2 linked regions of the Astyanax mexicanus genome follow. The protein of the gene in region 1 interacts with the protein of each later gene in a biochemical or structural test. Links are inferred from orthologs where the notes say so. Each region holds a gene or a part of one and is shown in the gene's direction. Other genes may lie near its edges.

The links. The genes of interacting proteins can lie anywhere in the genome.
Region 2: the proteins of bmpr2b (region 1) and bmp2a form a complex in vitro, tested with the Homo sapiens proteins (4 studies listed by BioGRID and IntAct, with this or other methods). The link is inferred for Astyanax mexicanus from reciprocal best matches to the Homo sapiens genes BMPR2 and BMP2.

Annotation. Positions count from the first base shown.
Region 1 is NC_064418.1:35,543,604-35,551,557, forward strand, and holds the start of bmpr2b (bone morphogenetic protein receptor type-2), read left to right. Parts: upstream 1-4,889; 5' UTR 4,890-6,283; coding exon 6,284-6,365; intron 6,366-7,954. UniProt on the Homo sapiens protein: On ligand binding, forms a receptor complex consisting of two type II and two type I transmembrane serine/threonine kinases.
Region 2 is NC_064421.1:16,604,824-16,612,308, reverse strand, and holds the start of bmp2a (bone morphogenetic protein 2), read left to right. Parts: upstream 1-4,477; 5' UTR 4,478-5,374; coding exon 5,375-5,726; intron 5,727-7,485. Other genes in the region: gdf3 (protein DVR-1), read left to right, coding at 973-1,243, 2,356-3,176. UniProt on the Homo sapiens protein: Growth factor of the TGF-beta superfamily that plays essential roles in many developmental processes, including cardiogenesis, neurogenesis, and osteogenesis. Induces cartilage and bone formation.

The DNA of each region.
Region 1 (7,954 bases):
TTTCTGTATCTGTCATAAAAAATGTTCAGGTTTCTTTGTTGACTCTTGAGCAGTTGTGTACAGTATTGTTCATATTAAACAATTTATGTTACACAAAGTTTCTATTTCACATCATATTTTCTGTTTTTGGACCATTTGGCATAGTACAGGGTCTGTTTGGTCACAACCAAATAATGGTTGTACGGACAATGTACTGTTCCATAAATAATACAATAATATTAACTTTATGTTAAAAACATTCTATAATATAATAGCATAATAAAGTAATTGAATTCTTTTAACATGTTATGAACCTTTAATTATTAAGCTAGCTCCAGAACTGAAATATAAAATGTTTGTCACATAGGCCAGACACAAGACAGACACATGCAGATAGGATTTATAAATAATGAGGGACAGGCAGGGTCAATAACCATATGGGAGCAAATATAAACAACATACCAGTGAGAGTAGTCAGGCAAGCAGGGGTCATTCATGAAGTATCCAAAAACAGCAAGAGAGGAGACAGAGATGCATGAATAGGTCGGCAATAAATTAAACAATAAACTGAGCAAGGTGCACTATAAAAAAGGGTTGCCAAAAACAAAGGAAACACATCCTAGAAGAGCTAGAAAACTAACTTAAATTCTCAGCAAGGAGCAAAGCAAACTGAGGAATACATATGCAGGGGAGAGCAGGTGGAAACAATCAGTAGCTCGGAGAGCCAGAATGCTGTAGTGTCACGTGATCAGTGGAGGCGGTGAAGTCTGGTGTGTGTGCATGCTGAGAAAAGGAGTTTTGTGCAACAAGTTCAAGAGTCTGGAGCAGGCAGGCTGACACCATCTGGACTGATAAATTTTTAAATACCATTTATAAATAAAACTTAAATAATGGGCTCTCCTTATTTATAAATAAAACATAATGGGTGATATTGAGGTCAGCAAAAAGGATTGAGGGTAATGCACATATATATTATCAAAATTATTGATGTATACTAATTACTAGTACTATTATTTTGAGTATGTAGTATTTAGTACAATGTATCAAGGTGTCAGAATTGAATACACTCAATTTTGCTATGCATACTAAGAACTGATTGTGGTTGTGTTTTAAATGTGGTTTAGATGGACACTATCGTCCCATAATGCAATAAAAAAATTGAAAGAGAAGAGCTACTTTATTGTAAGAAATTTATTGTAAGACATATATAGACCTGTCACAATTCCAGCTCTAAGCTCCTCATGTGGAAGTGCTCTTTTATGATGTTTTTAAATGGCAAATAAAGGGGGTGTAAGCAACTAAGGTGTGGGAGAGTTTATAACTGAACTACGACACTTTGCTCCATGCCCATTCACACTGCTGCTTAAACACCAAATACCACTGCAGACCCTGTGCTGGGTTTAGCAGTTGCTGATTTTTTGCTGTGTAAAGACAATGAAATGTTATCACTACAGCAAGTTAAACTGGGATTTTTCAGATCCTTTTTTTTTCAGAACTGTTGATAATAGATTCCAAACATGACATGGGTATCACATGGGTAATGATTATCAAGAAATTGTGATCTGATGCAGACCTACAAGGAAATGCTGAAAGGTGGCTTTCCACACTGTTAAACGTATAAGAGACACCCCTCGTGATGGACCTTCAAGAAAAGGTTTTTAGAAGAAAATGTTTAGTAAATGTTTATTAAAGCACCTTCCAGTTTCCCACTGCAGGAACAGGGTTGGAGACCCCTGGTGTAGAGAATGTGAGGGTACTGCATTGGGCCCCCATGGAAAAGTAATGCAAGAACTGGTATACACTGTACCCAGCACTTCCAGACAGACCAGAGTCCCACCCACTAGAAGTCAAAACATAACTGCTTAGTTATTCTGTTACTTTTGTATTATGGGTGGTTAATCTGATGTGTTAGGCCTTTAGTTCTGTTCCTGAACTGGAGACAAGGCTACAGAAATGACTTTCGAAAGTCCAACATATGGGGCCTATAATACAAAATTACAATGCCATTATAATGATATTTTAATTTATATTAGTAGTCTTTAAAAATCTATTATTCATAATAATATTATTCACAATAGTCATAAGCTTTTAATGTTATATTTGACAAAGAAATGTTTCATTCTAGAGTTTTAGGAATTCTGGGACTCCACAGTCATCATGTAATACCAACTAGGCAGTCATTGTAAATTATGACTGCTCTTATTTTTAAGAGGGCATTAATAACAAATATGTTCTAGTTGTGGCACCATTAGAAGCTGCAATTTATGATGTTGTAAACATGCTTTCCAGTCTCTCAGAGACTATCAGTATGTTGTTACTAAAAGGTATTTCATTATACAGAGGACCTACTACAGTTTTACATTGTGTGAGCTAAGATTTTCACTGTTAAAATAAAAGTATTTAACTATTATTATTACTATTACTACTATGACTACTACTACTATTATACATTTTAACAGTATATGTCTTTGGTATGTCTTTTGGTATTTTCTTGCAGAAATATACTATATTTGACAGTAGTATGTCAGCATAGCAATATCCTTTTTTGTTTGCATTACATATTTTGAGGTATACCTTAAAACAGGCTTTATTGTCTAAATTATTTGTTAAATATTAAAATAAATTCTGGTTGGGGCTCTGAATCTACACTCACAATGCTTATAGGTAAACGGTGCTTCTCAAAGATAATGATATTATTATTAATAATTAATAATATAGACTATAAGAAAAGAATACACACAGGATATACATTTTTCATATGAGTAAAGTTGGTAAAGTACGTTTAATACAAACCATACTTATAAAAACATAATGTTAAATCAACGTAAATCAGTTCTGGTGCATTAGCTCGGGAAAAATGAACGTTGATTCAACATGCTTTTGCTATTTGGGTAATTATTCAATAAAAAATAACCTCTATTTCATGGTTTGTTTTGTTAAAATTAAATCTTAAATATGTTAACAGAATCATTATTGTATTACAGTGTTTTCAGTTTATATTTTAATACAATTTTGTAGAGATAAATACTGTAAATAGGAGAATTCTGCGAAACTTATTGAGGCAAAACTTTATTTTTTTTTCAAGAAAAAAACATTAGTTAGTGATTAGTTATTTCAGTGTGAAGCTACTGTGATTTTTGAAAGTCAATGTCGTCATATACGATGATGTTAATTCATTATATATATATATATTACATGTTAATTCATTATATATATATATATATATATATAATGAATTAACATCATAATGAAAAGCCAATATATATATATATATATATATATATATTGGCTTTTCATCTTACAGCAGACTGTTTAATAGTGAGCAGTGAACGCCAGGGGGCGCTCGGACCACTCAAATAAATTCACAGTACACTGTAAAGTGTGTAGGAGTAAACTATCACTCCTGCTTTTATACTGCTAGGAGTAAATTAACTGTAAATTCATGGATTTTTTGTTCTTGTTTACTGTAATTCATCCCTTTGAAAGAAAAGTTTTTCTTTACCCATTTTTTAAAAACGGACATATGTTAGTGACTTCATTTAGCTAACTTATCTAACTATAATTAATAGTTAATTATATGAATATATATAATTAATAAACTAGTAGGTAATGTTTGGTAAATTGATTAAAAAACAAGCAAGCAAGCGAGAAATCAAGTAGCTATAATGGCTCAATGGTTTTAAGGCGTCTTAATGTCTCACACGTAGCAAGTTATAAAGACAAGTAATGTTAGGTAACGTTACAGTAAAATGAAGGTTTGCTAGAAAAACAAGAAAAGAATTGATGTGTTGTGTATCCATGTAACTTAGTTAACTAGCTATCTTGTTAGATGGGTATTATGCGTGGATATATAATATCTAAAAATGACCCAAAAATATAATATTACAATATTTCAGTGTGTTTTTGCGACAACAATATTCTTGGCGATATGCCAGAACAAGAGTATACTACAGGAACAAAATATTAGTTTAACAACATATAAAATGTAACATTAACGACAAAAGTGTACCACAAAACTAAAGTGTAGCATATTTAGTGCATGTAAACGGAAAACAAACAATTAACCCAGTGGCATGTATTATATTTTAGGTAGAAACTAAATCACACCACTTTTTTAACATATATACTATATAGAAATTAATACTATTTTTTATTTTGATACACTGATTATTTGAATCAAAACAAAATTGATCTACACAATGATTTTAATAATTGAAAAACCTTGTTTTAGTAAGTTTACAATAGTAATGTAAGAATATAAATTAATACTTATTACATATTCTTGCACATATTCGTATTTTTGATTATGACCCACTTGCACGCCGTATATATATTGATATACGTTGATGCCGATATACTTACAGAGAGAGAAGACACCGTGGTATAACTTTATAACTTTAAAACTAATAAAAAACAATAAAAGTGGAAAAATGCTTAAATCATCACTTGTTTTTTCCGGCATACAGTATATACGTCAGTACGTATGGTTTGAAATTCTGGCCAAATCGGCCGATGCTTATGCTGATGCCAAAGATTCTAAAAAAATCAATTATCGGGCGATACATAATTGTATAGTATGAAATGGTGTAATAACCAAAATATGATTTAAAATTGGGTTAAACGTAAATAAATTAGTTTAAATAGCCATATTACTACAAAACACAGTGTCTTCAAGGATATGGAGTTTTTTTTATCGTGTCAGAATTTTGCAATATAACGTTAATTAGATACGATACGGCACATGCCTACTACTATAGGTAGCTTCAGTAGCTAGATGTTTCTGAATGAGGCGCTAGCTAATAGTAAGTAGCACAGAGACTGAGCTGAGCTCGCTGTGCTCCCCGCTTAGGCTGCTGGGGGCTGTTTAAGAGGCAGAGCAGGGAGGGGAGGAGGGGAGAGGGAGGGGAGACTCGCCGCCCTGCAGCGTCTGTCTGCGGGAACGGGCGAACTTATCGAGCACGGCTGGCTGGCTGGCTGGCGGAGGAGCCGACAGGGGGGGACGAAAGGACTAGACTGTGGAAACGCGTTGCGTTACAGCGAGCTAGCGATACACAAGTGCTTTAGAAGTGAAGTGTAGGACCGTGCCTCTGTGTTTTCGCTCAGTTTTTAGTCGGTGGTGTGTGTTTAGGAGTGTTATCTCGCTGTTAAAGGCCCCGGTTTTGGCTTGGAGTCAAACGCGGAGCCGCTCAGACCGACCCCCCTCCTCTTCTCTCTTCTGCTGCTGCTGCTGCTCCGCTCATGTCTGTCGGGCTTGTTCGGAAAGATTCGGGGCGAGGAGCTCGACGATTTGTGGATTTCTGGCAGATTTTGGGAAGATAGCGGACTTGATAGACTTCTTCTTTGTCGTGTTTTTTTTTTAAACATAAGCCTGTGTCCTAAATAATTGTTGGAACGTAAGTGTTTAAAAAAAGAAGCTGCCAAATGTGTGTTAGGTACTATCGTTAAGCTAGCTAACCTAGCTAGCTAGCTGTTCGTTGCTAGTTAAATTGGCTAGCAAAGCTAGCTGTTCGTTGCTAGTCAGCTAACTAACATAGCTAGCTGTTTGTTGCTAGGTTAGCTAACCTAATCTACCTAGTTAGCTACCTAGCAACGCTAGTTTACCACAATCTCAACGTTCCCAGAAATGGACTGTCGGGACTGTTATCGGGGAACTGAGACACACTGCGGGGACTGTAGCGTTATGTGGTGAAATTTAGATTATTTAGGAACTGTTTACCGGTTGTTGTCATACTAAAGATCTAATCCAGGTTATGTGTGAGGTCTATATATAGTTAGTTAACTAACTAAAGCAGAGACGCGCTGTTGTTTATGGTGGTTTATGGTCTCTATTTTGGTGATTTCTGGACAGCAGCGGATTCTTCGCTGAAGGTAGCTTTAGCCAAGAAATAACATTTAACGACGTTGAAATGGCGATTAAATGTAACGTTAGTTAACGCCAGTTAACCTTAGCTACTTGGAGAAGTCTCTCTCTCACACACACACACATACACACACGAAGTGACTCACAGCTCTCGGTGCTAGTTAGCTGGTTAAACTTTAAACCGATTAAAGTTAACCCTAGTTGACTAACGTTACTTGGTTCTGGTTCTGAAAGCCGGGGAGAAAAAGAAAACCATGCCTCGCCCGTTCACTCTCACACCGCACTGCTGCTCCGCTCCTGCTGGACTCTTCCCTCCCAGCGAATGAGCTCGGATACCCCACTGGAAATAAGGACGAGAAGAGGAGGAAGAAGAATACGAGCGGGGAACGCAGCTGCTTAAAACTTAAAGCAGTGTCCCAACAGTTTAATAAGGAGGAATAAAGCATGAAGGCTATGGCAGTGTTGGGCCGGGTGTCTGTTCTGGCGCTTGGGCTGTGTGCCGTGCTGCTGCTGAGTCCCGTGGCTGGTAAGCGCTTTATTTCTCTCCTTTCCTTCCATTAGAAAACCGGTGTCTTGTTTTGCTGTAACGTAAAGTGATGTGATCCAAGTGTTTTCATTAAAACACGCTTCTTTCGGTCTAAATCGATGCGCAACGACAAGCTATCGCCATTTATTCCTCATGTCGACACTAGCACTGGGCCTGTTTTCAGATCTGTGAGGTTAATTTGGGTGTTTATTGCCAAGACTGTCCGTGTTAATCAATGTGTGTGTTTAAAGGAGAGTGTTGTTATTTTTATTTGGAAAGAATGTTTTTAGGCATTGTATTAATGATTTCTAAATGTTTCATAATGTGTAGACTGAAGGTGATTAAAACAGACACCTTCGTTATCTTTTTATACATTGCATACAGCTCTGGGAAAAAAAGTAAGAGACCACCTCAGAGTTTATTTTATTTTACCAAATTGAAAACCTCTGGAATATAATGATGAGGAAGATGGATGATCACAAGCCATCAAACCAAGCTGAACTTGGTTGATTGATTTTTTGCACCAGGAGTGGCATAATGTTATCCAAAACAGTGTGTAAGACTGGTGGGGGAGAACATGCCAAGATGCATAAAAACTGTGATGTAACTGTGAGTTATTCCACCAAATTTTGATTGTTGAAATTTTAAAGCTTTATGAATGTGAACTTGTTTTCTTTGCGTTATTTGAGGTTTGAAAGCACTGCGTCTTTTTTGTTATTACATATATTTGGAAGGTTTTTTTATCATGTTATGATACAATTGGATGACTGTCTCAAAAATATTCCAGCCTCATGATATCACAGTTTCTTTGTATCACAGTTTCATGGCATCATAGTTTCTGAACATAAAAGTAACAAATTGGAGGGATTCTCTATTCAGTTGCATTTTTTTTTTACCAATACTAGTTTTAAGCAAATATACATGGTCTGATAACATCTGTTTTCATACCATGGTACGACAAACACAGCATACCACTGCGACCGTATTATATTGTAAACATACCTTACGACAAACACAGCATACCACTGCGACCGTATTATATTGTAAACATACCTTACAAAAGTCATGTGGCTTATTATATTAAGTGGTGGGTTTGATTTTGAGCAGGTCTTCTAAAATTCTCTGCATTGGGATTTGAAGATTAAAGATTATTATTTCCATTTCCAATTCATATAGGCAAAACATATATATATATACTTAGCTACATCTGTCTGTAATAAAGGACTGATTGCCAAGCAGTCAGCTGCATTTCCATTCCTTCTAAATGTCAGCATCATTGTTAGGCCCATTATCTAGTTCTGTAAGGTGAATGAATGTGGAGGCACATTGACAAAAGAATCCAGGTTAATAAATTTGTGCTGTTTAAATAGAGTTCATATTTTTACCAAAGGCCTCAAAAGGTCCCCACGGGGTGCTGGTGAAATAGGTCAAAATATGAATACACAGTCATCACTGTAGTCTTGTGTTCAGTAATGTCAGAAAAAAGTACCTCAATGTCTGGTTTCTGTTTAGAGTCAGTCAGTGGGTGAAGTTACCTTTCACCTTTCACTGGAGTCACTTGACGATGTGATGAGATTATGAAGGTACAA
Region 2 (7,485 bases), on another chromosome or scaffold:
TCTAAACACCGTAACCATCAAAAAAAAGCTGATACCATTATTTTTCACAAGCAGGTTTTGCTAGCATGACAATTGGTCTACAAGCATAAATTATCATCTTACAGATATTACATTTGGAACAATAAAGACATGTTATTTAAAAATGCTGGAATTGTTATGGTAAGACAGTTGTAAAACAAAAAAATAAGCTATTGTAATTGCTGCAGTTCCCAAATGTATAACGTAATTTTTAAAGGAATTGTTGGTTAACAGATACAAATCTGTCTGAAAAAAAATATTTTCAAAACATCTTTATTGACAACATTAATATTACAAAAAATGAATGCAGTAATAAGGTAATTAGAAATTTTCTCTGTCAATGGCAGCAGGCAACAGCAGAAATGTATTAACGTAGTATTGGTGTGCTGAGTATCAAAATATAAAACAACACTTTACCAACAATTTTATTTGTATTATTAAATGTTATTTTTAAATATTTTTATTTCTTATCATTATCTCGTGGTACTCTTGCTGTTGAAACAACAATAGACATTACCATATTTCAAACACATTTCACCCTTGAAGGTTGGTTGTTTGCCAGCTGGGAAGGATAAAAAAGTTCCTTATTCCTAATGTTGACCTAGCTCTCTCAGTTCTCACAATGAAACCAAGAATAAAGGTAAAGCCAAAGAATAAAGGTAGCCAAGGTAAAAAAATAAAAAGGATAAACTAATTAGACCTTTACTCTGTCTGTCCCTGTCAAAGCAAACTGGAAGTGATGGGCTAATTGGATTTTTTTAGCTCCGTTCACACGTACCTTCAAACGCTCCTAATTTGCACAACAATTCAATTTATTCCTTGTCTAATCGTCGCGCCTTCGTTGTCTCGGCCAATCAAACGTCAGACCGCACGCAGGCGCACTTTTTAAATGATTAATCTGGACGCCTGCAGCCGGCAGACTCGTTAGCGTTCTCTGTTCAGTATCTGCTCACTATGGCGGTTTTTAGGCTTTTATTTCTGTCGTGTTTCTGCTCGTTTGGACTTATTGACAGCACGGAGGACGTGCAGGTTCAGGAGCAGCTGTTTTTAAGTTCTCTGGGTCTTTCCAGTCGGCCGAGGCCGTCAGCTCGGGGTCCTGTGCCCTCACTACTGTGGAGGATCTTCAAGAAAACCGACGAGAAGCGACCGGATACTGACCCGGATCCGTGCACGGTGCCGGAGTACGGAGTGAGGGGCAACATCGTCAGATATGTCCTGGACCAAGGTGAGCTTCCTGCCCCTGCCCCTGCCCCTGTTCTCACCACAAACCTCCCTGTGCCCCATTAACCCATCATTAAAGGAGAACTCCGGTGTAAAATGGACTTTTGGTTTAGTAAAACATGATAAAAAGTACTTAACATTGATGAATAGCACACCTCTGCTCTCCCACAGCGCTCCGAGATCCAGAAATTAACAATTTGTCCAAACACCCTTCAGACTGGGTGACACGGGGCAAAATCTTCCACAATAAATCGCTTTTTCCACCGTTATCATGGCTCAAAGAAGCTCCACAACTTATTGCTAGAATCCGGAGAGCCCTGACATTTAAAACGAGGCATTAATAACTTAAAAAGTAGACAAGAAGCTTATTAAAAAGCACTGTTTACATCCTATAACCATAGCTTAAGCTCTGCATAGCCTGCCTTCTGGCGCCGGCTGCTTTGCTATGCGGAGTGTGTGTGTGGATATATGTATGTTTTAAATCAAGTTATTTTATTATTTTTTTTATAATAAAATATATATATATAATTTTATTTATTTATTTTAAATTCTTAGTCAATTTCTATTAGTCTAGTTCTTTATATATGTGTATAGTTCTTAGTCAGTTGCTCCTCTAATTGGTTTACTTCTTGAATAGGTCATCAAATATTGCTAAAATGATTTTATTTACAGATGTATGCAAGTTTAATCATTCTTGTTTTGTTTTAAACTTTTTTTTATATATGAAACATGTGCATGATTACTGGTATTTGTATCATTTATCATACATTATAAAAAGAATAGCAAAGATAAAAAGGCATAGGAACATTGTATTGTTTTTAGTTTGTTTTTCCACTGTTGGTCAGTAAATATTCTGAGAAATACAGGATTTTAAATTAGTTTGAACCTGGAGTCTCAATATTTGCTACAATCCCTAGTGTAGCAGGGAGAATTGGTTTGATCACCTAGCTAGCCAACCACATCCTGCTGGGTTAAGAGTCTTTAAGCAGAATCCATATACTTTGCATTTGCCTACCTGTGTAACATGATATAAATTATTGGTGTTTGTTTATTTATTTATTTTTATATTTATTTATTGAATAAATATTGAACATGATCTGTTATCTTTCTCAACAGGTAGACTCATTTCTGACTCAATCAGCCACGGTGTGGAGAAGCATCTTTTTTTCAACATGTCTGTTCTGGAGGATGTGGAGCAGCTTTCTTTTGCCCAGCTTGAGCTGAAGTTCAAGCCAGACCTTTCCCACTTGTCCCACCAGGTTGGTCAGCATACTTTCAGCATGCACCTCTACAAGGTCTTGAGGACCTCACTGAAAGGCATGAGCCATGACTCTAGCCGCAGACTGCTGCTCTCCCAGTCTGTTCATTACACACACAGCACTACCGTCCACTTCAACCTGACCGACCTGGCTGAATGGTGGAGGAAGCCAGGCAAGAACTTTGGGCTGGTGCTTGTTCTGCAGTCTACTCGGCTAGACAACCAGCTGGACCCAGTGGACTATGACTCTAGTTTTGTGGGGGTCCCTGAACTGGTCACGTCACTGGTGGTTGTGTCTCTGAACCCTTACCAGTGTAGATCGAGGAAGAAGAGAAGTGCCTACTATGTGCCTGTGAGCCCCAGCAATGTGTGCAAGCCCAGGCGCCTCTACATCGACTTCAGAGACGTCGGCTGGCAGGACTGGATCATCGCGCCCCAGGGCTATGTGGCCAACTACTGCCATGGAGAGTGTCCTTTTCCACTTAGTGAGAGTCTGAATGGGACTAACCACGCCATTCTGCAGACCCTGGTCCACTCCTTTGACCCAAAGGGGACGCCTCAGCCCTGCTGCGTCCCGGTCAAACTGTCTCCTATTTCAATGCTTTACTATGACAATAATGACAATGTTGTCCTCAGGCATTATGAGGACATGGTGGTGGATGAATGCGGCTGCAGATGAGCTACATTTTTGTTTGTTTGTATTTTACGAATGGAAAATAATAAAAACTTGCCTTTTTTTAAACAAAAAATAACCTACCTTGTTTCAGATTCTTCATCCCATTTTTAGACATTTGTTAATTTAAATCCAAGGTTCAGTCAGTCCAATAAGCAAAGGTGGCAAATAACAAAATAAAAAAAAAACTTAAATTGTTTTTGACAAGTTTTACAGAGATTGCATGTTTGATTTATTAATTAATTTATTTTAAATTGCTGCTTTTATACATGCATTTAGGCCTCTTACTGTGTGCACTGCTGTTGGTATGGCCCCTGAAAAGTCTCAGTTTACAAGTATACCAGTACAGTTCAATCACTCGTGGTGTTTTCAAATCTATAAGGACAACAATGACTGTCAACACTGTCAAAAGTTTTCTGAATAAACTATATTTACCACCAGTAAATACCTAAACACCAACACAGTTAAACAGGAGAGGATTGTTTGTTAATTTTAAGTGGGTGGAGTACATTTTTAAAAGAGCAAAATAGAAAAATAGTGAACTTTAGTATTTTTAATTGTTTAATTTAATTCAATTGAGCTCAAAGTGTGTATACATTTATTCTCATTTTTAATAAAAAGGGAATAAAAAAAATTAGAGGCCCCTGTTTAAAGACATGCTTTTTACTTGAGTAATACAAATCATACTTCTACTATTTTTACTTGCATACATAAAAGTACAAATATTCAATTTTATGTACTTAAGTATGAGACTTGGCCACCTCTGCCAACAGAAAGAAAAAAGCTGAGGGCCGTTTCTGTTGGGAATCCTCAACATTTGGACCGAAGATGAATAATTGAGAAACTGAGGTTTGCAGTATTTTGAGGCTTGAGGATTAAGGAGACCAAAATGATCACTGGCCCTCCAGGACCAGGATTAAAGAACCCTGCAGTGGTGCTGTGCTGGTGTGGGAGATGTACTTCTCAATTCCCTCCACTGGTTGGTGCTCTATAACCAGATTTGGTCTATTGTAGTGGAACACAGCAGCAATTGAGTTAGTAAAAATAAATATTTCTGGCTGAATTCTGCTGTATTTAAGGTAGGGTGGATTTTATGATCCTAAGGCTTTATATGTAAGCTGTATTTTTTTGCTTCTTTTTAGGAGAGATAATGGATCATGAAGGGAGAGGAGGGAATTTCATCAGTCATCTCATGTGTTGGATGTACCTGTACCGTTTCAACCACTGGGAACCCGAGCACCACACCATTATTAATCCTTATTTGACAGCATGGATAGGGTGGTGTTTGATTTTCTTTTCTTTTTTTTTTTTTTCTTCCTTCTTTTCTTCTTTGCTCGCTGTGTTCATTCGTGACATCACTGAGCCACTAAAAGCCACATGGGCAGAAGGAGAGAGGAAGAGAAGGAGAGAGAGTGTCAGTGAGAACAGTGCGCACACCAGACTCCACCAAGCTCTCTCTTTCTCTCTCTATCTGTCTATAGGAGGAAAACCAGACCTTCTGCTGCTCTTCTGACTTGACTTCAGGAGGTCCATGCGTTTGGGAAGCTCTCAGAGATGGATGTTTTGGATGGAGGACCCTGAGATGGAACCAGCAATGATTTGAAAGGAAGTAGCCAATTACTGGTGCTGGGCAGCTGAGTTCTGAAGAGTTTGGAGTTCTTCTGCTGGACTTTCTCCTCTGGAGCTAGCAGTGCGTGCACGTAGTTAGGGCACGCGCGTACGCACACACGTTTACGCGCGCATACTGCATACACCCACCACAGCACTCAAGGTCTCAAAACACAGTTGGACTCGATTGGACAAGGTGGTGAAGGTAGACTACAACTTCTGGTACAATCTGGATTGATTCTTCAGTGGAGGCTTCTACATCTTATCTTCCTCTACTGATGGACAGACTGCGAGTGCTTGGTTAGAACCTGCTGAGGAGGTTCTCCAGTTCTTTATCTGGGACTATGACTTAGGGTCCCAACCGTCTACGATACGCTTGCGTGTTAACGTCCAGCAGACGTGAGCAGGATGAGGTCCAACTTTAGAAGCTAGAAGAAGAATAATAAGAAGAAGGACATAAAGGAGGAGGAGGACCCACAGTGACGGACATGGCTAAGTGGTACCGGAGACGCCAAGTGGACGCGCGCCTCTGCCCGTGCCCGTGTGATTAAGCGCCACCAGCCCCCAGGTCTTGACCGACCGGGCGCTGGGTGACCATGCGCTCCGCCGCGCTGCGCCGCGCGCTGCCCCTCCTGCTGCTGCTACTGGCTTACGCGCGTCTCGGGGGCTCCGCGGGGCTCGTGCCCGAGCCGGGCCGCAGGAGATACGCTGCGCCCTTGTCGCAGGACACCCTCAGCACCTTCGAGGCGCGACTCCTCAGCCTCTTCGGCCTCAAGCAGAGGCCCACCCCCAGCAGGTCCGCCGTGGTTCCGCGCTACATGCTGGACCTGTTCACTGCGTACTCCGCCAACGCGGAGCCAAAGCACGGCGCGAGCAGGCGCGCGCTCGGGAGAGAGTCCGAGAAGTCCGCCAGCCGCGCGAACACCATAAGAAGCTTTCACCATGATGGTAAGCGAGCAGAAATTGAAAAAAAAAAAAAAAACTATCGCGTTAGTGTTAATAATATAAACAAGGTCAGTACAATACATTATATTTTCATAGGGATCAAGATAAAAGTGCGAAAATAATAATTGCATCAAAAGAGAAAGCTCTACATGCTGCATACTAGGGCAGTACGATAAATCATATTTTTATTGTTATCATGATATGAGTTTCCATGATAAACCAAAAATCCCCAAAACTGCAATAATTGAAATCAAATTGCATTACATACAGCTCAGGACAAAATTAAGAGACCTCTTGTGATGAGTTTCTTTGATTTTACCACATTAAGAACCTCTGGAATATAATCAAGAGGAAGATGGATGATTACAAGCCAACAAATTAAGCTAAACTGCTTGACTTTTTGCACCAGGAGGGGCATATAGTTATCCAAAAGCAGTGTGTAAGACTGGTGGAGAAGAACATGCTAAGATGCATGAAAACTATGATCAAAAACCAGGGTTATTTCACCAAATATTGATTTCTGAGCTCTTAAAACTTTATGAATATGAACTTGTTTTCTTTGCATTGTTTGAGGTCTGAAAGCTCTGCATTATTTTGTTTTTTTTTCAGCCATTTCTCATTTTCTGCAAATAAATGCTGTAAATTACAATATTTTTATTTGGAATTTGGGAGAAATGCTGTCTGTAGTTTTTAGAAAAAAAAAAACAGCAATGTTAATTTTAATCAAACATATACCTATAAATAGCAAAATCAGAGAAACTGATTCAGGAAATCAAGTGATCTCTTAATTTTTTTTCCAGAGATGTTTATGCAGCAGAGAGATCTCTTTATTCTGGAGACAAATTGTATAAATAGATAAATTGTATTTTTATTGTTATCGCAATACAAGTTTTTTGGATAAACACATCCAAAAAGTTGCAAAAATGCAAACTCAAACTGCATTACCTGTGCAGCAGAGGGAGCTCTTCATGCTGCAGACTATGATCATGTGACATAGCAAATTAAGGTGGAGGTAGAGCTATAAGATAAATCATATTTTATTGTTTATTTATTGCTAAAAATGCAATAATGCTTTTCACATTGCATTACCTTCATTCCTCACAAGAGAGAGCTCTTCACACTGCGGACTATAATCATGTGACATAGCAAATTAAGTTGGCGGTAGAGTGAGGTCGAGGTCCATGGTAAAGATACAAACACACCAATCTAAATTACTACTTATCCTGGGAGAAAATAGGTAGAGAAAAAACTCATTTTGTTTATGGAGATGTTTGCGCAATCTTGGTTGTGCAGAAAACGCAGTGTCCTCACTGAAAATAAGGAACAGGTGTAGCCAGCCAGCCAGCCACCAACACCAACAGGGCAGGAGAAGGAACACGGGCAGCACATTCCTGCAACCACTCACAAACACAAATGTTCTGTTCTGTTCTGCTCTCTGAACACCTCTTCCCAATTCTTAGCCCAGTCAGGTTCTTTAGCATGCATAAATAGAAGACAAAATTATATATAAGGCATATATACGTATATACATAAATAAATATTAAAGTGACTGCACAGTTCAAACATAACTGTGTAATAAGAAGAATAAGCAGTTTGCAAACAAGTGGATATTTGCCATTAAACCATGCATTCATTTTACTTTCTGCAAATGTATTACCTAGACAATCCATATAGTCTTTCAATTAAAAGAAAGGCTTAAGAATTGTTTTTCAGAAGTGCCTTTGAACTAAATGAAATAAAAGCTTGATTTGTTTTGATCAGA